4 linked regions of the Saccharomyces cerevisiae S288C genome follow. The gene in region 2 interacts genetically with the main gene of each other region. Each region holds a gene or a part of one and is shown on either strand. Other genes may lie near its edges. The genes, in order: STR2, SSO2, FAR8 and FAR11.

What was found.
Region 1: mutations in SSO2 (region 2) and STR2 together harm fitness more than expected from each alone (negative genetic interaction), as found in Saccharomyces cerevisiae (2 studies listed by BioGRID).
Region 3: mutations in SSO2 (region 2) and FAR8 together harm fitness more than expected from each alone (negative genetic interaction), as found in Saccharomyces cerevisiae (2 studies listed by BioGRID).
Region 4: mutations in SSO2 (region 2) and FAR11 together harm fitness more than expected from each alone (negative genetic interaction), as found in Saccharomyces cerevisiae (2 studies listed by BioGRID).

Annotation. Positions count from the first base shown.
Region 1 is NC_001142.9:662,707-668,723, reverse strand, and holds STR2 (cystathionine gamma-synthase), read left to right. Parts: upstream 1-1,586; coding exon 1,587-3,506; downstream 3,507-6,017. Other genes in the region: MNS1 (mannosyl-oligosaccharide 1,2-alpha-mannosidase), read right to left, coding at 1-1,080; EFM3 (protein-lysine N-methyltransferase), read left to right, coding at 3,705-4,724; YJR128W (uncharacterized protein), read right to left, coding at 5,444-5,803; RSF2 (Rsf2p), read left to right, coding at 5,665-6,017. UniProt on the Saccharomyces cerevisiae protein: Catalyzes the formation of L-cystathionine from O-succinyl-L-homoserine (OSHS) and L-cysteine, via a gamma-replacement reaction. In the absence of thiol, catalyzes gamma-elimination to form 2-oxobutanoate, succinate and ammonia.
Region 2 is NC_001145.3:624,410-629,476, forward strand, and holds SSO2 (syntaxin), read right to left. Parts: upstream 3,400-5,067; coding exon 2,512-3,399; downstream 1-2,511. Other genes in the region: RGM1 (Rgm1p), read right to left, coding at 123-758; MIN3 (Min3p), read left to right, coding at 1,402-1,488; ADD37 (Add37p), read left to right, coding at 3,780-4,376; RTP1 (Rtp1p), read left to right, coding at 4,616-5,067. UniProt on the Saccharomyces cerevisiae protein: Required for vesicle fusion with the plasma membrane.
Region 3 is NC_001145.3:327,311-333,171, forward strand, and holds FAR8 (Far8p), read right to left. Parts: upstream 2,922-5,861; coding exon 1,350-2,921; downstream 1-1,349. Other genes in the region: TAP42 (Tap42p), read left to right, coding at 172-1,272; RSF1 (Rsf1p), read left to right, coding at 3,483-4,613; EIS1 (Eis1p), read right to left, coding at 4,902-5,861. UniProt on the Saccharomyces cerevisiae protein: Participates in the control of the reentry into the cell cycle following pheromone treatment.
Region 4 is NC_001146.8:381,558-388,874, reverse strand, and holds FAR11 (Far11p), read right to left. Parts: upstream 4,889-7,317; coding exon 2,027-4,888; downstream 1-2,026. Other genes in the region: SPC98 (Spc98p), read right to left, coding at 1-1,648; TEP1 (putative phosphatidylinositol-3,4,5-trisphosphate 3-phosphatase), read right to left, coding at 5,212-6,516; NRK1 (ribosylnicotinamide kinase), read right to left, coding at 6,673-7,317. UniProt on the Saccharomyces cerevisiae protein: Participates in the control of the reentry into the cell cycle following pheromone treatment.

The sequences.
Region 1 (6,017 bases), on a different chromosome or scaffold from region 2:
TCGGGCTTCATGAATAGAAAGGCCCTCAGTAGAGCCTGATGCTAACAATCCCCCCATAAAGCACACGAGGTGGTCCATCTTAGGAGAAAGTTGTCCATGTAGACCTTGTTCTCTTTCCCCAATGTACCACAGAGAAGAGGGTTTGGATTGTGCTAATAAATGCTTTTTCATACCTTCCATGGATTTTCTGTACAGATCATAATAAAGTGTTTCGTGCGTCAATAAATATTGTTTTAGTAAATACTCATAAAAAGAATCACCTCTTGATCCGAACCGGATAGTCGAAGCACCAAACTTCCCAGTATCTGGAAATGTATAAATTGGAACCAATCCATCGTAGGTATTTAGAAGATCGTTATTTTTGTATAATGGCTCGTAAACACGCTCCACCAGCTCCCAATAAGTACGATTTCCTGTCAAATACGCCAGATATTTGAATTCCATTTGTAGCGTAGTGAATTCTGCGGTAGAAGATGCCCCCCCATCTGCATGGTTCTTAACCGCTTGGCCACTATGAAGGTTTATACTTGAGTATGGAATTCCGGTCTGAGTGGATAAGAACGCCAAAGCAAGCCTATCCCCCAAATCTATTGCTTTGTTCAAGTAGACAGTCTTATTACCTACTTCTAAAACATCAGATAGATGATATGCGGATAATAAACCACCTAGCATTCTAATAGTAGTTTCAAAAACATTCACTTCGGCATCAATATCAAAATCCAAAACATCGTTTATCCAATGCTCCGATCTCTGAATTTCTGCCTCGAACTCACTTTTGTATAGTGTGGAGGAGTTATACATTAACATCAAGGTATCCACTGAATCTACGATAATCCAGCCTAACGGCTGGTTGCCACGAGGCATATTATGGGAAGTGTGCTCAATAGGTCCATACACATCGTATCCCCAGCCATGCTTGGAATAGTCTCTCCACGATTCCAAGAACATGCTTTCAATCCGATCTCTCATTTCTCCGGCCCCCGGTGACTTTCTCTCAAAGTGTTCGTACCATGGCACATAGTATATAGCTGCTATGATAGCAACAATGGTTGCAATTGAAATACCGACAGAGTTCTTCATAGAATCCTTTTTCAATGTTTAACCTTTTCCTCTTTTACTACCTTTTTCTGTCGTCTTTCGTTTCTTGGCAAAGCACATTTCTTTCATTCTTTCGTTTGGCGAAACTGAAAATTCCAAATAATTGCTCTTCCACAGAAAATGCGTTACAACCAAAGTGAATTTGTAAAAGTTTAACCCCACATTTTGCTACAGTCTTATTTAAAAATAGCAGTATTCATATTAAAATATCTTGCGGTTTAAGAACTCAATTAACTTCAATGATTGCCAGTGTTGTTCAGGTAAAACCCTTCAAACCTAGTAAATATGACTTATCTTCATGCGTGGATGTAAAAAACAAAAATCATGATAGCGCCTCTGCACTTCACAATATCTCGGTCTAAAAATTAGTCATATATTTTGGATATATATATATATATATACCCATATATATAACGATAGTAGAATGACGCTCATGTGCCGATTCGGGACCTACATAAACAAGAGAGAGAAGAGGAACAGAAGAAAAAATGATATCTAGAACCATTGGTGAATCTATTCCGCCCAACACAAAACATGCTGTTTCCGTGTGTTTGCCCACATGGGAAGCTACAGTAGGCTATGAAGAGGGTGAAAGCAGTATAATTAACTCGCTTACTACCGGATATCCAAGATTTTTCATACACAAGTCAATAAAGAAATTATGTGAAATTTTATCCGCTAAGTACTCCATGGAAGATGAAGCTTGTCTTTGCTTCCCCTCTTACAAGGTTGCCAATAGGTGCAGAGAGTTTATCAAAGTGAAAACGGGTCTTTCTACCAAAGTACGCATCTTACAACTATGTACACCTAAACCTATGAACCAAGAGGAAAAGCTCTGGAGAAGGGAATGTAAAATCACGGTGGTGTTTGTAGACCAGGAAATATTCCCCGTGATGAAGCAGTATTGGCAACATTCTGGTGAGATTGTATCTAGCAGAATGGCGGAGTATATTTTACATGAATTACAAGTCAAGGATAATCTTAAGAAGATGGAAACAGTGGATAACGGTAAAAAATTTATGACCGAAGATGAAAACAGAGTGAACGAAGAATATATAGAAACGAGATTTGGGAGAAATTTAAATTTTCTTGCTGCTGATAAAGCCAAATATCTAATACGAAAGAGGATTGCCACAAAAGTTGTTGAAAAAATTGACTCTGAAGGTCTATCGGACCTATTCTCTTTTGAACACTATAACGAGAGCAACGGTCCATTCAATGTTGGCAGTGGAGAGGCTCTGGATGATGATCAGTTGAATTCGGACATACCTGCCGAAACAATTACTTCTATGGGAGAAAGTGGCTCAAACAGTACTTTTGAAAACACAGCTACCGATGACTTGAAGTTTCATGTCAACCCTAATACGGATGTTTACTTATTTCCAAGTGGAATGGCGTCCATTTTCACTGCCCACAGGCTGCTTTTAAACTTCGATGCCAAGCGCTTATCAAGGTCTTCTAGTAGACAAGATAAGTTGATTGGATATGGACCTCCGTTCAAGAAGACCGTCATGTTTGGATTCCCATATACAGATACTCTGAGCATTCTTCGGAAGTTCAATCACACACATTTCTTGGGACAGGGAGATTCAACGTCAATGAACGCTCTGAAAAATATTTTACATTCTGGTGAGCAAATACTGGCGGTATTTATAGAAGCTCCATCGAACCCACTGTTGAAAATGGGAGATTTACAAGAACTGAAAAGGCTATCAGACTTGTATTCATTTTACATAGTGGTCGATGAAACTGTGGGTGGCTTTGTCAATATAGATGTATTACCGTATGCCGATATTGTTTGTAGTTCGCTAACGAAAATCTTCAGCGGCGACTCGAACGTTATTGCAGGATCCTTAGTACTAAATCCTAGAGGAAAGATTTATGAGTTTGCTAGAAAATTTATGAAGACTGAAGACGGATATGAAGATTGCCTATGGTGCGAAGATGCGTTATGCCTGGAAAGAAATTCGAGAGACTTCGTGGAACGTACAATCAAGGTGAATACAAACACTGATATATTGTTAAAAAGGGTGTTATTGCCTCAGGTGGGAAAATTGTTCAAGAAAATATATTACCCCAGTTTAACATCAGAGGATACCAAGCGGAATTATGACAGCGTTATGTCTACAAAAGATGGTGGGTATGGAGGTTTATTTTCACTAACTTTTTTCAATATTGAAGAGGCAAAGAAGTTTTTCAATAATCTGGAATTGTGCAAAGGACCTTCTCTCGGTACGAATTTCACTTTGGCGTGTCCATATGCTATTATTGCCCACTACCAGGAATTAGACGAGGTAGCTCAATATGGTGTCGAAACAAATCTTGTAAGAGTGAGCGTCGGTTTGGAAAATAGCGACGTTTTATGCAATGTTTTTCAGCGTGCCATTGAGAAAGCTTTAGGGGAATAAAGCCAAAATGTTTATATGTATTAGAAAACTCTGTAGAAAATTTTAATGCTGATTGTCCGGACACGACAAACAGCGAAATAAATACTAGCAGTTAGTACATCATCGCAAAAATGATGAAGAATGTATAAGTAAATGAAAAAGGAAAAGAAAGCAGAAAAATCGAGCTAGTAAAACTTGACCCTCCTCGTCAAAGATAACATGAATGAAGATCTATTCTACGATAGATTACATCAGCGGTGCCCTGGAAAATACTTGCTAGAAGAGTTGGAAACAAGCAAATCTAACGATGTCCTGCATGCATCGAGATTTGTTTGTGAGATGGAACTTGTGCAAAAGACGAATGCATATTATTGCAAAACCATAGTCAAGATGCTCTTAGACCACGAATGGATTTTCGCGAAGGCATTCACAATTGTCAACGATGGCGAAGACGAGATAGAGATATATGATTATCTCTATGAGAAGTACATAAAACTATTAAGCACAGGCAAGCCAGACCCGATGATGAAAGACGTCGTGAGGTACAGGTTTGACGAGGACGTAAAGATCAAAATTGAGGAAACACCGAATTTGATCAGTGCGGCCAGTACTACAGGTTTCAGGACATGGGAAGCTGCCTTATACATGGGTGATTTCCTTATTCATAAGCCCTTACAAGAGTTGGCACCGGTACAAGGACAAGACGATGGCAAGAAAAAATTAAATGTTCTTGAGGTCGGCGCTGGCACAGGCATAGTGAGTCTCGTCATTTTACAAAAGTATCACGAGTTCGTAAATAAGATGTACGTCACGGATGGTGATTCGAATCTCGTTGAGACGCAGCTGAAAAGAAATTTTGAATTGAACAATGAAGTGCGTGAGAACGAACCAGACATCAAGTTGCAAAGATTATGGTGGGGCAGCGATAGAGTTCCTGAGGATATAGATTTAGTAGTGGGGGCAGATGTTACGTATGACCCAACTATCCTTCCTGATCTATGCGAGTGTCTGGCCGAATGTCTTGCTTTAGACCGATGCAAACTGTGTCTCCTATCCGCGACAATTAGAAGCGAATCCACTGTCCAACTGTTTTCTCAAGAGTGCAATAAACTCGGGCTAAAATGTACCATAGTCACCAGCACAGAGTACGACGCAAACAACGAGATCCGCGCGATGAAAGCCCTGCAATTCAAACCTTTGATTGCACCCATACGGATCTACAAGATCACGAAACAATAAGATACATGTGCAAGTACAAGTTCAAAAATAAAACATAACTAAAAAAAAAAAGAAAAAAAATATAGTCATCTTCTGACACTCGAGTCTCATTCAGCTAATCAAAACAACTAGCAATCCACTCGAGTTCTTATAAATGACCCGGAAATTGATCTCTCCACATTACGCTTATCACGAATAAGACCGAGTGTTCAAATAAATAGCTCGATCTTCGTACTGTCTAATGCGGTGGATTAGTACTTTAGGACAAAGTTACTTTTTTTCGGAAGGAAACTTCAAAAATAGAATTAACAAATAAGAAGGAAAAGCGAAAAACAAATCTCATTGCCTGTGCTTTCTTTTATACTTTTTTTTTTCGCTCGGAACCTCTTGCTTATACACGGTTTTTTTCCACGGAAACCTCGGTTACCCTTCAATTACTGGAACGTTAGGGCACAATCTAACAAATATATATACTGGCTTACAAGATGTAACAAACTACGAATAGTGGTACGAAGCTTATCACATGCACCATTATCTGTAACTGGGTTGCCGCCAACAGCAGACTCATGGGCTGGTTGAAAAAATCTTGGAAAACAGAGATAAACAGCTCGGCAGATAACATTTCCTGCGACCTTAATGCTGCGTTAGGTGTAATTGTCGCAATTTGCGGCCGGCCATAGTTGTTCGTGCTACAATATATGGAAGAAGCAACTGTTTTTGAATCAACGGTAGTAACGACCTTATATCATCATACACGAAAATACGCACAGACGGGGGTGAACCACTCCAGGGGCAGAGTAGAGTGTACAAGGAAAATTGTGATCTCGCCGCACGGTGCTGCATCGCGGAAATTCTCCGTAGGGCAACGGATAAGGTAACTGCGTATGCGGCATCGACAATAGGTAACTACGCGAGCAACTTCTATTAAGAGAAATAATTTTTGGGAAATGGCCTGTTTCGGATGGAACCGTTCGCATTTGGACGAGGGGCGCCTGCATTATGCATACTAACCGCGGCCGCTCGAATAAATCTGGACAATTTTGTTCCGTGTTGCTGGGCACTTTTCCGTCTGTCTTTCTTTTTCCCGCTTGACCCTGCATATATTAGAAACGAAAACAAAGAAACAAGGACTTCTTGGATTTCCATAGAGTTTTTTTTCTTCGTTAAACATTGCCTCTCTCAACACACGTTTTTCTCGAAGACTCTTGCACCAAAAAGAAACTTTAGGGCGAAGAAGCTAAAAGACATTGGCGATACTAGAATAGATAGGGCAGATAAAGATTTTTTATTAGTGCCGGAGCCAAGTATGTTTGT
Region 2 (5,067 bases):
AACGGCAAGCGATATCAAAATATCTGCATAATAACGGCAATCAACGCGCACGCGAATGGCCAAGAGGGTACAATAGCAGCAATGATGCGGCTTGTGAAATGGAGGAGTGGGTGCGGTAGAGCTTATTTTTTTGCGTTTGGTGAAGCGTCCTTGGCCTGGTCAAAACTTTGCACCTTAGACGGCGATGCTGGAGTGTCACTGCTATCTGGAGGGAGCTCTACAATGTTGTGGTTTTGTATGGGAGTGTGGTTCAGGAAGAGTGGTTGCATATAGCTGTATATTGGTAGTGGAGGAGGCTGATGCGGCAATGGTATGGGAGCAGATGGCATAGGATGAGGGAAGTATGGTGGTGCGTAAAGAGATATAGTGTCTTGTGGGCTAGCAGGAGTTGATATGGGCAGATTGTATGGAACAGGCGCGGGCTGGACAACAATTCCATATGGGCGTAATTGCGGGAACATTCTTGTTGCGTTAGGGTCGTTCGCAGTGCTATTTGCGGACTGCTGCAGTCTACGTAAGGACATCAAATCAACGTCCGAATGAACAGAAGATTGATGTTGTCTTAAGTTATCGATTCTACTGAAGAATTTAAGGCAGATATTGCATTGGAATGGTTTCTCCCCTGTGTGTTTCCTGATATGTCTAGCCAAATGTTCGGTCCTATTGAAACTCATGTTACAATCAGGATATCCCACGCATCTATAATTTCTCTTGACAGAAGCGTTGTCTTTGTTCCTTTTCGGTTGTTTTCCTCTCATGTTTAACCAGTGTCATGCTAATTGTCCTGGACTATAGACGTGAGTGGGGAGGAATAGTGCTATGAAGTCGCAATTGAATCAAGAATACACGAAAGAAAGAGAAGGAGGCGTCTGTTCATATACACACAAACAATAGTTGAAATCAAGAAGATACAATGAAAGAAAAGAGAAGGAAAATAATGTTATAAACGATTGAAGGGATCCGCTGAGGAATGAAAAAAAAAAATAAGAAAGTAAGAGAAGGGAAAAAAAAAAGAAAAAAAGAAAAAAAGAAAAAAAGAAAAAAAGAGGGAATGATCGAAGATAAAAATTCTCAGAAATTTGAGAAGAAGGAAAAACTCTACTTAAATAAAGATAAACTTTTCATGGCTTGAGAGTCCGGCATCCACGTAACTTAATGGTCCGTGCGGTAACATGGCAGGGTGTGCAGGACCCTATGGCTCGAGAAGTTGCTACCGGTGTTTAATTTTTTTTTTATCTTAATATTAGGAAGAGAAAAAGCATCAGTTACGAGACTCCTGAAGGAGCGCCGGAAAGTTTCTTTTTTTTTTTTTTTTTTTTAATTTTTTTTGTGTGGGGAAAGACCGACTACCAGTAATACTTTAAAGATATTATTAAAAGAAATCCCGAAAAAAGAAAGACCATGAGAAAACCGAGTGCGTTTCATGCATGTAACATAATATTTCTTCCCCTCGTTAAGTGTGCATCAGCAACCATAATGCTGAATTAACCGCAAAGGTTACCATAAAGGATCGCATATAAACAAAACTCGCCCTTTCTCCTGCATCCCTTACCGAAAAGGAAAGTTTATATACACTTAAAGGAAAGTGCTACTGTAGGTCGTCAGGCCGTTGATGTACTGCTCTTCGAGACAACTATTGTACCTTAACTGTAAGAATTTGCTCAAGCCCTCAAAAAACACAACGTGCGGGTAACGACAACGAAGTGGGCGCAAGACAAAGATGGAATATCCTATCCGATGGGCACTATAAAAGGCGAAGGGAAAATTAGTTTTTTTTCTTGTCAAGCATTTGCCGAGCGCTTCAATGTTGATTGGTCTAGAAGTAACAATCAAGACAGATAAAGTCTAGTACGTGTGCAGGTTAATGCGCAAGTGAGAAGTGTAGATATTGTAGTTGTGATATTTACTATTCTAACTTGGCGCTATTAACGCTTTCACAACCCAAAAACATCAAGAAAAGCCTTTCAATAAATTGCTCTTCTCTTGGCGAAAGAAAGCGGGGGGCAAAAAGAATCACGGGACTTATGTTTCGGGATCTCTTTGTTTCTTCTTTTTTTCCCGGAGAATAATTTTTTAGGACCAATTACCGTAGTTGCGACTACAACAATTGTTGTTCATACCCCCACGATTTACTTTTTGAAAACTAGTTTTTGGAATAATAATGTTGTAAAATTTCCCTTTTTCCACCCCGATTTGTATTTTATTTTTCGTTACAAAATTGGGACTAATATTAAGGGCGACAGTTTTTCTTAAAAGTAAGATTTTTTACTTAAAAATTCTTGTTCTTAACGAAATTACATACGTATTAAAATTATTTATTAGATAGTCGGTATTGTCTTTTTGTGAAAAAAAAAAATTATAATACTAATTGTTAAAAAGGCAGGTATGAGGAGGGTATAGTAGGAAAGAGAAAAGACGTTACAATTTTTAGGTTTTCGGTTTTAATAGAAATTGTTTGATTACACATAATAGGAATTGGGGGGCTGGCGGGAGGGAGGCGCATGTGCTCTATTACTTTCTTGTTTCCACAACGGATGGAACAACCACAACGACAACAACAATAGCAAAGATAATAAAGCAGATGATCAAACATCTTATTTTGTTTTTTCTTGCTTTTCTGGCACTCTTAACGGCCTTGTTGGTGTGACCCACACCTTGCTCTACATCTTGCTGAGCGTCTTCGACGTTTTTGTCAATGACATCCACATTTTCTTGTTGTTCGATGACCAACTCTTCCATGTCATTGAACAATTGGGTAAGTTCAGCCATTGTTTTTTCCAACTTCAACAACTCTTGATGTCTAGCCTGTACTTCGGCCAATGCTGTCTTGGCCTCACCACGTCTATTGGCGTTTAGCAACGCTTGGGAAAAGATCTGCTGGCCATTGACATCGTTGATGGCGGCTTCCACTTCTTCGTCAGTGGCTTCCGGTTGGATAATTGTGTACTGTCTCTTCGCCTGCTCTTTGCTTTCTTCTTTGTAGTTAGAATCGATAATTCTGTAGTCTTGAATTAATTTTAAGAATTTCTGTCTGCAATTTTCAGCTTGTGCCTGTTTATTAGAGTCGTGCAATCCGTCTCTCTGGGCATCTTTGATATCCGCTTTCAATTGATACTGCAAATCTGTGGCCTGAGAGATGTAATCGTCCAAAGAACGTCTCAATTCCATCTCCTGTTCCTCACTCACTTGAGTAAGTAGGTCTTTGTGTTGCGCATCAATTTGGTTGATAATGTTTTCGTACCTGGACAAGTTAGCATTTATTGAGTTGATCTTGTTCATAAAAGCTACGAAATCGTCGCTACCATCTGAGTGACCAGTAGGAGCATTGTTCAAGTCCTCTTGCATTTCATAGTTTTCAGCGTACGGATTGTTATTCTCATAAGGATTAGCGTTGCTCATTGCTGCAATATTTGTGCGTGTATGGGCAGTTTTCAAATGTAAAGTATTACAATTCCACACTATTCCAGCTCTCTTATGGGTATATTAAACGATTTAACCTGCCAACAGCATTTATTTGTCATTTTACTTGCTTTTTTCATCCATCCATTGAAACTAAAAACGTCAAAAAAGGCCATTTCGTAAACAACGGCCGGGTGATAAGCACGTCGTTTAGGGGGGACCCTTTGCTGCCGCTTGGTACCCGGCTCGTAAGACATAAAGATGCCACATATTTACTTTTAGCTGGCTTCTTTATTCACACAGGCTACTCATAAGAGCTTCAGTAGACGCGCATCTGTCGGTTCTTCGTCAATCTATTTCCGCACATACTATTACGTACGATGGCTATTAAACCAACCAAAAGTTTTCAGAATTGTCTAGAAGCTGAAGTGCCTGGTTATAACGACTGTCCGACAGTTTTGTTTTCTATCGACCCTAATAGCGGACCTAGATCCAAATCTAAACAAAGAACGAAATCGAAAAGATGTGTTAGCGGCAGACTTGCCACAGAAGTGTTAGATCTTTATGGGAACACTAAAACAGCTACTACGCCGCCACCAGTTTTGAGGAGGCCATCTGTAACTGCTGCTCAACAAGAATCTGCCTGTGAAGGTGTGCTCGTAAAAGACCAAGGCGATAGACAGCTCCAGCCGATATTATGCAGTAAAGAAGAATTAGTGGCTAAGATCAACGACCTCTGTGTGTGTGGCTCGAAGCTCTCTTCGAAGGAGTTGGAATTTTACAAGAAAAAATTAGATTCAAACATTACCAAGATTTTACAAAACGAGCACACCAAAACAGTACTATCCCAGATTTTCAATGAAAAAGACAAAAATATGGCCGTGAAAACCATTAAACATTGGATGGTTACTGACACAACAATCTCAAATTGGTGTCCCGCATTCTTAAAAATTTTTGAAAATGCGATGCCTAATTAATCAATAATATTATTATATTTATAAATAGAAGTACACTACGCAGAACATTTTATTTTCTAAAAAAAAAAAGAATTCCTATTGAATAATTAAAAATCAAGGTTACCCGCAGTCTGCTTGAGAAATTTAATAAAAAACATGTAATCATCTCATCGCGTCGAACAGCATATAGCAATAAGGGCTCATCACCGCCTCATGTTTCTTCTTGTCATATCAGATCAAGAAAAACAAAAGGTTGGAAAATGAATGAGGATAAAGAGCAAAAGATCAACATACACGATATATTGAATACAAGACCGAAGCTCACCAAAAAGACAGCCCTAGATGTTTTCTTCGAAGATCTGGATGACAATGTAATTACTCCCATAAACGAATATGTTCTTGATTCAGGCTCATCATCATCCTCTTCCATTTATCAGGCGTTGAAGTGCTCAAATAACAATGAGTTTGTTGCAGTACTTTTACAGAAATTCCAGAATTTGCACATTCACGTACTAGAACAGCAACGGAGGCTCATCGAAAGTAAAAGTGACTTATTGCCTATCTCATTGCATGATATGAAATACGTAGACGAACTGATAAATCTTTTGATTATTCATGGTATAGATGCTAATTTGTCTCCTACGATGAAAATTCCATTCGATTCGAAAAGAATAAATACTTTCAAGAAGGGCCAAAAAAGCGCAGAATATGA
Region 3 (5,861 bases), 300 kb from region 2:
TAACTTTACTTTATGACTTTCCCTATGAAATGTTCCAAAAAAGCACATAGATTTTTAGTACGTGCCTTTTATTTTATGTACTTCTGATAAAAAAAAGAAAGCTCCTAAGGACAAATTACAATCAATGGCGAAAGAAGAGGAAGAAAGTAATAACGAGGAGAGATCATAAACATGGCGTCAGTAACAGAACAATTCAACGATATTATTAGCTTATACTCAACAAAATTGGAACACACATCTTTGAGGCAAGATTCACCAGAGTACCAGGGATTATTACTTTCCACGATCAAGAAATTATTAAACTTAAAAACAGCAATTTTTGACAGGTTGGCATTGTTCAGTACTAATGAGACCATTGATGATGTGTCTACTGCTTCCATCAAATTTCTAGCAGTTGATTACTATTTAGGATTATTGATATCAAGACGACAGTCGAATGATTCGGATGTTGCTCAAAGGCAGTCTATGAAATTGATTTACCTGAAAAAAAGCGTTGAATCTTTCATTAATTTCCTGACACTATTGCAGGATTATAAGCTTCTAGATCCTTTGGTTGGTGAAAAACTAGGTAACTTCAAGGATCGTTATAACCCTCAGCTTAGCGAATTGTACGCGCAACCAAAAAATAACAAAGATTTATCTGGAGCACAGTTGAAGAGAAAAGAAAAGATTGAGCTATTCCAGCGCAATAAAGAAATTAGCACAAAACTGCACTGCTTGGAGTTGGAATTAAAAAACAACGACGAGGACCACGACCATGATGAATTACTAAGAGAACTATATTTGATGAGGTTACATCACTTTAGTCTTGATACGATTAACAACATTGAACAGAATTTATTTGAATGTGAAATGCTCTCTAATTTCCTCAAAAATTCCGTACATGAAGTCAAATCATCAGGTACTCAGATACGAAAAGAATCGAATGATGATGATTCCACTGGTTTTACCGATAAATTAGAGAATATAAATAAGCCATTGATAGACAAAAAAGGTCAAGTCTTGAGGAACTTCACGCTTGTCGACAAAAGGCAACAACTGCAACAAAAAGTGCGAGGATATGGTCAATATGGACCAACAATGTCGGTGGAGGAATTTTTAGATAAAGAGTTTGAAGAAGGTCGCGTTCTTCAAGGTGGCGAAGAACCAGAGCAAGCACCAGATGAAGAAAACATGGACTGGCAAGATAGAGAAACCTATAAAGCTCGTGAGTGGGACGAGTTCAAGGAAAGTCATGCTAAGGGAAGCGGAAATACCATGAATAGAGGATAGAAAAAAATACCTATATACGTACACATAAGTATCTATTAGACAGATTCATATATTATTTTTTTTTCTGCCTACATCAGTTATATTTTAATCTTGTGCAAAAGGACTTCGTTATTTTTATTCACGGTGATTAACACCGGCGTAGAATCTACAATCAGATTTGAAGAAAATACCACAGGCTCTTTTCTTTCCGAGAAGTTGATGTCTGCTACGACAAATTCGTCGATGGATGGTTTTAGGTTTTCTAAATTCCTAAACTCAAAGTCTCCATTACTATATGATACGGTGATTATGCTGTCGTTCAAATCGAGTTGTATTGGTAGTGTTGACGATGGAGTCAATTGTTCCTTCAGTACAACTTTTTTCTTATCAAAAGAATAAACCAATAATCTCTCATTGCTTAGCTGAATCAGTAGCTTAGAAGTTTTTCTATCCAAAAATAAATGGTAACCTTCTTCTTCTGGCTTACCCGATAATATTGTATCAATCTTCAAATCAATTTTTTGTAGAAGCTTACCCTCGAAATCATATATGGTAAGCTGGTATGGATTTGAAGACAGTAATATTAAGGATTTTTCTGTTATACCCAATATACAATCCAGAATGTTTGTGGAATCATTACTATCATCGTCATCATTATCATGTGTTATTTCATATGTTTCTTTTATGTTAATTGGGACATCCTCAGGAGCCTCTATATTGTCCAATTCCCAGATTCTAATTTGAGATTTATTCTTACTAGCTATCAACAACCATTTATTTTTGAAGTCTATATTAATGATATCACTAGACGAAAACGGCTGTTCTGAGTCTTGTAATAGGTCCACATCTGAGATCAAAGATGCGCTAGAAATAGAGAACAATTTCAAATGGAAACTCTTTTCAATAACAAGGAGTTTGGACGTCGAAACCCAGAAAAATTTCATAATGTCGCTATCTTGCCCTAAAGATATTTTCTTTAAGAGTTTGGAATTCAAGTTTGCGTCCACTTGGTGTATTTCTAACGATTTGGTGTCTGCATCATAAAGTGCCATACAGTCCCCGTAGGAGCTGATAATGTCGACTTTCGACAATTCCGAGTGTATCTTGGATATTGTTTCATTATTTTCACGCTTGTTGGCTGTGCTAAACAAAGATTTCACTTTGGTTGGTGATGGTGACTCTGAAGGACCTTGCTTTGGATTGGGTTTGGTGTCCAAGAGGGCATTATTTAAAATATCCATCCCATTTGTCTTCGCACTGCCCTCTTCCTTGGGAGTATTCACGTTCAGTTTCTCTAAATCGTGCAATTCAGAACCCGCTTCTCTGCTATTTAATGACTCTAACTGATTGACCGTGTTAGGGCCTTTCAACAAATAAATTATTTCCTTCACATTTTCTTGAACAGCTAGCTTAGACTGCAGTAATGAATCAGGCACATGTTTTTCTTCCTTTTCACCTTCAGGAGAAACAGCTTTCGATTGTATTTGATTCAATTGATGCTTCAAATCTCTATTTTCGCCCTCTAGTTCTGCAATTCTTGCTTTCATTTCCGACCTTTCTAGCTCCCAGGTGATTCTATCTCTTTCATTCTTCGTGAACTCCGTTTGCAAGTAGTGCATTACACCAGGTAACGTGTAATGCGGATGAACATGTGCCTGGTTAATAGCCATATTGTTTTCCGGTCTAACTACACGCACTTACTTCTTTTGGGTTTCTTTATTAATGTTGTTGCTTGCTCCTCACATTTAGTCGTTCTAGGTGGCTTTTATCTAAGATTACGCGACGGGGAAGATCGCAAAGTTAAGACCAATAGAGTACTATACCATATCCCAACAAAGAAGCCTAGGGGATGGTGCAGCAGTAAAAACTGAATAGACTATAATAGATCATCCTACGTAAAACCCGAATAGGTTATCTCTTAAACCTTGTTTTCCTGTAAAGTTGTCCCGCGCATGTGAAGACGCAGAGAGTGGAGATCAATCTTAAAACAACTGAAGCAACTAGCACTTTCTTGACATTTAATAAGGAACTATTATCGCGTAAACCAAAAGAAACGCATGTAAAACATCTGCAAGTTACTCCATCATCTGACACCTAGAGACGTACGTATCAGAACGATTTGAGTGGAGGGGTACAAAAAGGGACTCTGTAGATCAAAAACTGTAATATTATCCTTTTTTTTACTTTCTGAGAAGCTATTCGAAAACAAGGAGATAGAACTACAAGCAGTTATGAAGGACCTAAATCCAGAAATGGGGAAATTTGCTACCACTAAAGGCCCTCCTCAAGACAATAGAGGCATGGTTGATATAGCGACACTGCCTAATTTTCCTGCCAACCGTAGTGGGACTCCTCGTGAGGAGATGTATCTGGCGCCCAACAAGATGGAAACTCCAAGGATACTTAATATGAATATGGTACCGGATTATTTGCAAAAAGAGAACTTCTCGCCAGATTTTTCTTCTGCTACCGTATCTGCCAAGTCATCTCCTGTCAACGTTACTCATGATGAGTCGCTTCCTCTGGGAACTATTGAATCGAATAGCACAAAGGATTCTAAATATGCAGTTCAACGGCAACAGCAACAAGTGGTAGATTTCATAGAGAATAATATGCAGCTACTGTCTTCAGAAACACTAAATTTTAGATCAGACATTATGAAAACTTTGGAGCTTCCCATTCCCAAGAGAAGAGATATTAAGGGAAACCATCTATCTAAACTATTATTTGCTAAATCACCTCTAACTATCAACACATATTGCCAATTTTATGACCGTAGAACCAAGCGAATTTGCAATCAAGAAATGATATGGAAAGATAAGAACAGTAGAGAGAAGCATGGTTCTAGAAAGTATCAAAGACATTTGAGTAAAGTTCACGATGTCCAGCTAACACCAAATAATTTTACCGAATTTTTTGATCATAATTCTCCACTTTTCCAGGAATGCTATGACTATCAATCTAGATTGATGCGTGATTTACTTGTTGAACCAGATGCCAAATTCAAAGAGAAGAAAAAGAAGAAAAAAGGGGACGTCAACGGAAATCATCCTGAAACCGGATCGAGCCTCATCAACCACCAGGTCCAACAGCAAAATGTTCGAGAACTTCAATCGAAAATAGCCATGAACGACTTGATAGAGATTCTTATCGATTTAAACATTCCGTTTTCTGTTTTAGACTACCAACCAATGAGAAATTGGCTCATCAAATATTCAATAATTTCAACAGATACTTTGCCGGATGAAGTATACTTCAAAACTGATCCAGGCGTGAATGAACTGGAACACAACAGTAGTAATTTAAACAATAGCAATAGCGGTACTCCTCATAATCATAATCAAAACCAACATACCAATTAATTAAAACTTGCTTTTAATCTGCATACATAAAACTTAGATCAAATAAATAAAAAAAAAAGTAAAACAACCATATATACTATTTCATAAGCAAAAGTAATCAAATTAAACAAAAAAAAGAAAATACAAATATTAAATTTAAATTAAGGCAATAAACATATATTATACACATAAAAAGAATAATTAAAGCGCAGATGAGAACTATCTTAATTATCAAAATTCTGTAGTATCCCACTCAACTGTTCAATATCTTAGCCGCACCATTTCTTCGTTATCTAGGCTCACTAGCAATTATTTTTTCTCTTGATTACTAATTGCATCCTGATCGTCTTCGATCGAAGAACCCTGTGAAAAGCCACTAAATGTATGTTCCAAACTATCAGGGCTAACTCCCAATGATTTATTGTTTCCTGCTTTCTGTGAAACCGAGATTTCTTTTGAATGCTCCGCTGATTTACAATCATTAGCGTCTTCTTTTCCACTTGATTTATTTCCGATCGAAATTTTTTCTTCAGGTTCCTTTGTTTGAACAGCAGAACTAGTTTCGGTAGCTTCTTTTGCGGCAGTACTCACCGGAACCCCATCACCACCTGAATTTTTCGTTTCGGCTCCCACTATCTCTTCCTTCTTTAGTTCATCACCTTCCTCTATTTTTTCAAGTTGGGTTGGTAAATCTTCAACATTTTTCTCGACGGATTTGTTTTGTGTTAAATACTCCTCAGAAGTCATACCAATCAATTTTTTAACCTTCTCTTCGTCAATCTTATCATCGCCACGTGCAGAAGCAACATCTTTCATAGCTTCCAACAAATTTAGTTTTTCCTTCTTTAACTCGATTTCGGTCGCGTTCAACTCGCTCTTACGTTCGTTAATCAACGAATCCACTTCCAATTGCTTCAGACGGGCCTCCTTGGTTGATAACTCAGCCTGCTCTTTAGCCTTATTAGCAAGAATAATAACGTCATCATTCAAATGGGATTCCAAGCTTTCTTTAGTTTGACCTAGTTCCAGTAATTTGTCATCCTCTCTGATATTTCTATTCTTCTGGGCGTCAAGATCATTTCCGTAACCAGAGATCTTTCTTTTATGGTCAACTATAGCATCCTGCAATCTTGAGATTTCTGCGTTAATTTCATCGCGCTCTTCCACTAAAGTTTTGTGTTCCGCTTCTGCATTTGCCAGATCGTCATGGTAAGGTTTCAATAGTTCTTCTTGCTCTTTGCGCGCTTCAGTGATATCTTGTTCACATTT
Region 4 (7,317 bases), on a different chromosome or scaffold from region 2:
GTCCAAGATCGAGTACCCTCGCATCCAATCCATTAATGACAGAACTATTACGGGGACTATTCATTAAATGTCTTAAGGAAGAAAGCTGCACGGCTTCCTGTAAAACCCTTGTTAACTTATAATTTGGCAATGAATCCGATGGTGTCGCGAGAATATCATTGGCCTTTTCTATAAGAGCATCCATAAAATCAGATTTACCCATGAGAAGAATATTCTTTAACGCAAATACCACGTCTCTGTAATGAAACTTCTGATTTAGAATTTGATTAGTATGATTAACAATTTCAGAATATTGATCATTTATAATTTCAAAAAAGTTCGTTGATATTCCCCGATAAGAATTGCTCTGGTACAGGACATGATACTTTTTAGAAAATTCGTTTGTCCATTGAACCTCTTTACAGTACTTTTCTAGGAAGATATACGATTTGCCGATCATGAATATTTTATATGCCAACTCTTTCGGTATGAAGGCCGGAACTCTTTCTTGGTTGAACTCTATAGGAATGTGGTAAATAAAATCATCGTCTGTACCATTTGTATCAGTGTTTTCAGCAATGAAGAATTCTCCATAAGTAGCTCGGAGTAGACCTTTAGTCAACCAATTCATTAAATACTCATAATAAAGAGAAATCATTGAATTAAACAAATTCGTTGCTATTTTTCTTATAGTAAGATCTCCGTGGGATTTGAAAATATTTAATTCAATCAAGAATGTATCTCCGCTCAATTCTTCAAGGTGTTCTGTAAACCTACAGTATATTCGAAGCCTTATTATATTTTCATATATTTCACGATATAACGATTTCAATGACACTACTGTCCCTGAAGAGACCAGATTGTTCACAAATGCTGTGTAGTTTTGTAATTCTTCTGAAATTTCTATAATCAATGCTTTTTTCATTGGAGATATATTCAACATCCTAAACTTCTCCACTTTATAACCCAAACTTTGATATAATAAACCCGCTTCAAATATTAAATGTAAAAGTCCACTCTCAAAATTGGGTATCTTAGACGGAATTTGTATTTGCTCATGATCAAACGGAAATAGTGCCGATGTCGTAGCTAATAATGTATATGATACGTATTTTAGGATATCTTCCTCGGGTATAGTGTTCACATAATAAGGATTTGACAACTGTCTCAAAGTAACAGAACTGTAGGTTGAAGAGGGAACGTAACGATTAGGCGAAGATACCATGGACCTTCTTTCAGAAAATCGGTCCATGTTTTCAAATGAAGCTTCTGTATATATACTTGGAGCCCGCACTGGGCTAAGTAAATGTTCATGGTTAGCAAGGTTCTCCATATTGAGCCCAGATGATTTTTGGACAATTTTTGCTCTGTAATTTGATGGAAGCAAAGATTGAAAGACAGAGAGGTACTTTACCATATCATCGGTGTTCTGGATTCCAAATAAAGCATCGAGAAATTTCTCAATTTTATGCCACATAATTGTTGTTTCAGGCGAATCTAGTGATTGTAATTTGTAAAAATCAATTAAAGGGCCTAATTGAGTTGCCGATTTGGTGGATGATCGCAGTAAATTGACTACATCAGATACAAATGTCTGCAAATGACTCTGCGACAATAATTGAGGAGCCAATGCCTCTATTATACCAAAAAGAGTGGGCTCTAGTTCCATATTGATTTTTCAGCTACAACTGAAATAGACTGTAATATATATTATGGTTATGCTTAGTATTCTGGCTCTTCTATTTCTTATATGCAGATGAAGCCATCAAATGAGTATATTTGTTTGTTTTGTTTAGTTTTGTTTACAAACGCGACGCATCAAAAATCGTTACCCGTATATATTATGATAATAGAAATCCAACAACGGTTGTCCTAGTATCCCACTTGTGATATGAAGATCCAATCATCACCATTGCGCGATCAAATAAACACTATTTAAGGGGTTTTCATGCTCCTCCATTGAAAACTATATAAACATAGGGAGGGATAGGAGATTGTTAATGACAATAACATCGCGCCCCGAGCCTCGGTATCCGTAAGTAGAGATTTAAATATTCAAATACTCGGATTCCTTGTTTAACAGATCTTGGCTGGAACTATTACGGTGTCCATATCCAAGGTCCTCCATAGATATTTCATAGTGTTGAAAATTGTAAAATTGAAGCAAGGCCCGGAGTGCAATTTCTTGACCACAAGCATCGCTCAACTCTCCTGATATATCCTTCCCTGTTACCCAATTATCAGTTAACTCCAGCTTTTCATAAAGGTAAACCCCCGATATCAATTCCATATGCTCGGATTTCCACCTCTTGTTTTTGAATGGTGTGAGTTCTCTTGTTATTTTCAATATTGGATGATACATGTCAAGGTTGAAGAGCCGATAATAGCGTTTAAATAGAATGCCGATGGAGAGGGGCAGCTCCTTTAACCTTTGTGTTTTATTCCCTGTGACTTTTCTCAAGATTCTTAACAGATATGCAAACGAAGGCATAATCTCCGTGTCGACCTCTCCTGAGTCATCTACTGAATAGGATTCACGATAAGACTCGTTAGAGAGAGAACACTCCTTCCAAAATGAATTCGGGGTTTGTACATATTTATTGAAAACCCTCTCTGGATAAACCTCAGAATATTTGCTTAAAATAGATGCGCATGTGTTGATGTATCGCGAATCGTGAATAACTACCGCCAAGTGTTCAAATTTCAAAATATGGCTTAACTTAAACCACTTCAATAACGCATGTAATATGCCCGCTGCTGACTTTAGGGACAATTCCTTAGCTCTCACGATCTCCAATTGGGGTGTCAGCATATTTAGAAGATTTTTATCGGAGACTTCACTTTTCCTATGAAAGTTATTTGTCAAGCTTGATTCCATTGTTTGCAGTAAGACAAAAACAAGAGAGTTAAAGCTCGAAAGGCAGCTCTTATAATATTTGTCAATTCGCTGCATAATGCAAATCGCACTTTTTTCCTCTTTTGAAGAGTTTGCATCATGATTAAGCGCGGCATAATCATATGGCTCATTTTCTAATTGCTGTTTCCAACCACGTTCAGTTATCATGAATAAGTCCCTTTCGTACCAAAGTTGTTTTGTACTCAGCTTAATTTCTAAACTCTCGCTTAATATTCTCGCTGCCTCTTCGGTACTGAATGGAATAACTATATCGTTATCAGGTTTTCTCTCTATATTTAAATCTATCCTATCTTCCAGAGTGTCATCTTCAGATCCTTCATTATCAGATGGATACAAACACGGATATGCCATGTTTGTTTGGAAAGATTTACGAGGTCTAGGACCTTCACCTAAATGCATTAATTGTGGAGAGCTTGGCGGTGAAGGAGCAGGTGTAGCAATATGTTTTTCAGGAACAATGAGCGCCATATTTAGAGGATTCTTTGATTTTGGACGAGGAATTTCCAGAAACTGGGAAAGAGATTCTGATTTGTCAACATCTTTAGGTAAGCCAGAACTGGGCATATTGTAATCAGGAAAACGGGAAGTAATGTCCTCCCTGAATGCTTGATAATGTAATGGGGAGATAGAAAGCTTTTCTGGATGCTTTGATGGATATGTTAAGCCATGGAGATTATAAATAGATGATTTGGTCTGTTTGTAGACAGAACTGTCACCAAATTGTAATACAATAAGCTTGAAGAGCAAAGAAATCATATTTCTTATGCGCATAGCTAATCTGCTATTCCACCTCCAATTTTCAATATACTTTGTTAAAAATTCCAACAAATCTGTTTTCTCAAAAGCGTCGATAACAACATTTACTGCTTCCGGATTTTCTCCTCTACCTTCTATACAAATACTGCATATGAAGTATAGGATTGTTGACGAATGAAATAGCAAAATTGTTTGTTTCTTTAAATTTCTGTTGTCATCCCTACAACTTATTGCAATCTTCTTGAAGGCATGAACAATTTCTTGAATATGAGGAACAAGCATTAAATTGTTGCGTCGTATAATCTTTGTATGCTCACTTTTGCTATTCGTAAACGCAAAGCATCCCATAGAAATATATGATAATGCGAGTAAATTAGATGCTAAAGAATTGGGGATGTCTTCAATTAAACATTCAACTACGCTCGCAGCATAGTTTTCATCATCAAAGAATAATTGTGGTTGCGTAATTTTCTGTTTAAACAGAGTCTGTGTCTGTCCAAAATGCATATAATCAGAGCTGCAAAACCATTCCGACAGTTCATCTTCCAAAGAATAAAACATCTTCAATTCCCAGTCCACTGCTCTTTGTAAAGCATAAGGTGCACTTGATCTTTCCTCAAGTGAAGCTGCGCACTGGTCAAGTGATTTCTGAAATTCTTTATCTACCGGCATATTATAATCAACTTCGCCCTTTTCATTGATAGGAACATGCTTGCCATCAGAAACCTTATTCAAATCAAAGCCATCCAGTTCATCTACATTAGCAAATGATTCATCCTCATTCTCCTCTTCAGCTTCTTCAGCATCGTCTTGAAATTCAACGGCGTTATCAGTATTATTATCTTTCTCATTATTTCTATCCTTATTAACGCCATCATCACTGAACTTAAAATTATCATTTTCATCACTACTATCTTGCTGTATATCTATGGTACGAATATCTCCCTCAAGACCTGATCTTGCCTTGAAGGTTAAGGCACTGATATTTCCATCTGATTTATTTCTTTTATCGGCATGAAAACTGTTTCTTCCCATGTTCAGTTTACCGCGCAACATGTTGTCCAAATCTTTTAGCAGTTCTTCGTTGCTCAATGTTCCGACCTGTGGTTCTTTATGTGAAGTGACTTCATCTTTGTACTTTAGATTGCCTTTGAAACTAGAGTTTCTCTTAAGATCTTCTAAAGACACAGACCTTATAATGGGGCCTTTGGAATGAGATCTTCCACTAGCATTCATTTTAGCGAGGCTTATAAATGAAAATTTGTCACTTAACCTTCTTCTTCGGCTATAAATACTAATAAAATTTCTCTACAATGCCTTTCAACCTACTCCTTGGTTCTCATATATTTCTTCCTGTTTCTAGAATGGCGTTTTGATTCATATAATTGACCGCTCCAAAAAATACCTGCCAGTAAATTAAAGTACCATACAAGAATATTGAAGAAAAGGAAAAGAATACATAATATAGAAAAAAGCCTACCAAAACAAACCAATTCACAATAAATATAACACTTTTAACTAAGTTTAACGAATGAATGGATTTGACGAAATGCATAAACCTATATAATTTCCCATTCCAATTTCAGTGCCTGAAATAATTTCAAGCCGTGAGTGCTGAGCTCCCCAAAACCGTCCAGCTCTTGCCAGCTTATGGTTGTCCCAAGCATTTCGTCTCTCTTTAACCTCTCTACTTGAAAGTAATCTGGCGAAGAATCGTCTTTAATTATGTGCATCAAAGTCTCAAGGTATATATTCAGCCAACAGCTGGCGCATGAAGTCCAAGATATTATGCTACTGGCGGCTTTGGACTTGCTGGTCCCCAGGGTAAATTCTATACGACAATCATTTTCCAGTGTTAAGTAGTCCCTACCAAAAATGAAGGTCATATTACCACCGCATTCATGCGCCATGATATCTGAATATACTACTTTTCGGGTTAGGAGGGCATTTCTATCATCGTTGTAGTGTTGAATCTTAGTAGTTACAATAGCAGACTCGGAAGTGATTAAGCTTGATGGGCGGAGGAACGTCATTTTAGCAAGCCTGAATTTAAATTTGAATTTTACCGCCTCATTAGAAATTCCTTCTTGGGCTGCTTTTTCATGGGTAATAAAAAACTCATGGTACCTTAAGTATCTTAATTGAGAGGGTATGGTGACGCCATTCGTCATACCATACTTGAATCTAGCCTGCATGAATATCAATCTTGCTTCTCCAAGAGGACACTGCAAGTATTTCATGAGGTATGCTACTGTTATCATACCAGATCGGCCTTTCCCCATTCGACAATGTAAAACAGCCACTCTATTCTTCGAAACGGACAGGTAATTTTCTATACCATCTACAATCTCTTCCAGCAGTTCAAATGGCGGTGGAAAATGATCTAGCCAACCGATCCTTTCACAAATTACATTATTGGTTTCTTCTTCGACCAAGGTCCTTGTTTCGAGATCAATGGGTGATATTGGTATCTTTCCATCATTAATCAGCGTCGAACGTAATTCTTGAATTTCAAAATCTTTGCTCTCAAACTTGGCAGCGATACCAATAAGATCATTATCTTTATAATCGCTGTCTTCTTTCTCACCTCTAAAATTAAAAATTCTAAAATTTCCCTTGCCATGGTACACTGTTAGAAACAATATTAAGTCATCCAAGCTATTCCTATAAAGCAGTTTTGGATACGTGTTTACCGGGTATGAGCAGACTATTAGATTAACTAAAATATATGATATATCTAATCTCAAACCTATATCGTTTTTAGTTTTTTTCATTGGTAAAGACAATATTTTCTTCATCAAGTTGACTGGTTTCCATTTAAGGAAGCCTTTTTCCATTTCTAATTCACTCCCCTCCTCTCTCATTTACACCAAAAAAATAATTTCAAAAATCGGGATGGTGTTATCAATATTGTGGTTCTGAAATTGTCTTATTTAAGTTATCTATCGAGGTACACATTCTTATTTTTATTGTTTTTACTTTTTTTTTTTTATACTTCTCATCGATTTTGTGGCGCTTTCCTAATCCTTACAAAGCTTTAGAATCTCTTGGCACACCCAGCTTAAAGGTTTCGCAATTGGAGTGTCATCATCATTTATGAACTCTTTTATATTCTTTGACTTCCTTGGGTCTAGTAAACCTTCTACGTCTCCATTAACAAATAACTGCGCATGATTTGCACGATAAGATTCATACACAAATTCGTCGAAATAATACGGCGGATCCACCCAGAAAGAATCCAAAGTCTGGTATCCTTTTCTGGAAGCCCTCCTTTTTTTTAGTACTTCATAGGGAGCACGCACTAATATCTTCAAATCAAATTTTTTTGATATTCCAGTATTATTGAAAATCATAAACCCATCTACAATTACAACTTCATATTTGTCGTCATTAATAGAGTCATACTTAGCCTTTAACTCGTCCCAAACTTGTCTATCAATGTGGAACTTTGTAAAGGGATCATCTACGTTGTTATTGTGTATAAGTTTGGTGGCTATTTTACCAGTTTGTTTGATCACATCTAATTCTTTACCGAAAAGTTTAAAATCAAGAGCTTCTGGCGAATCCCAATTTTGAATGTTATATTTAGCATCTACTGGCACTTCATTATCATGTTTGTAAAAGTCATCTTCATGAATTAATGTAGCCTTCGTGAATAAACTTGC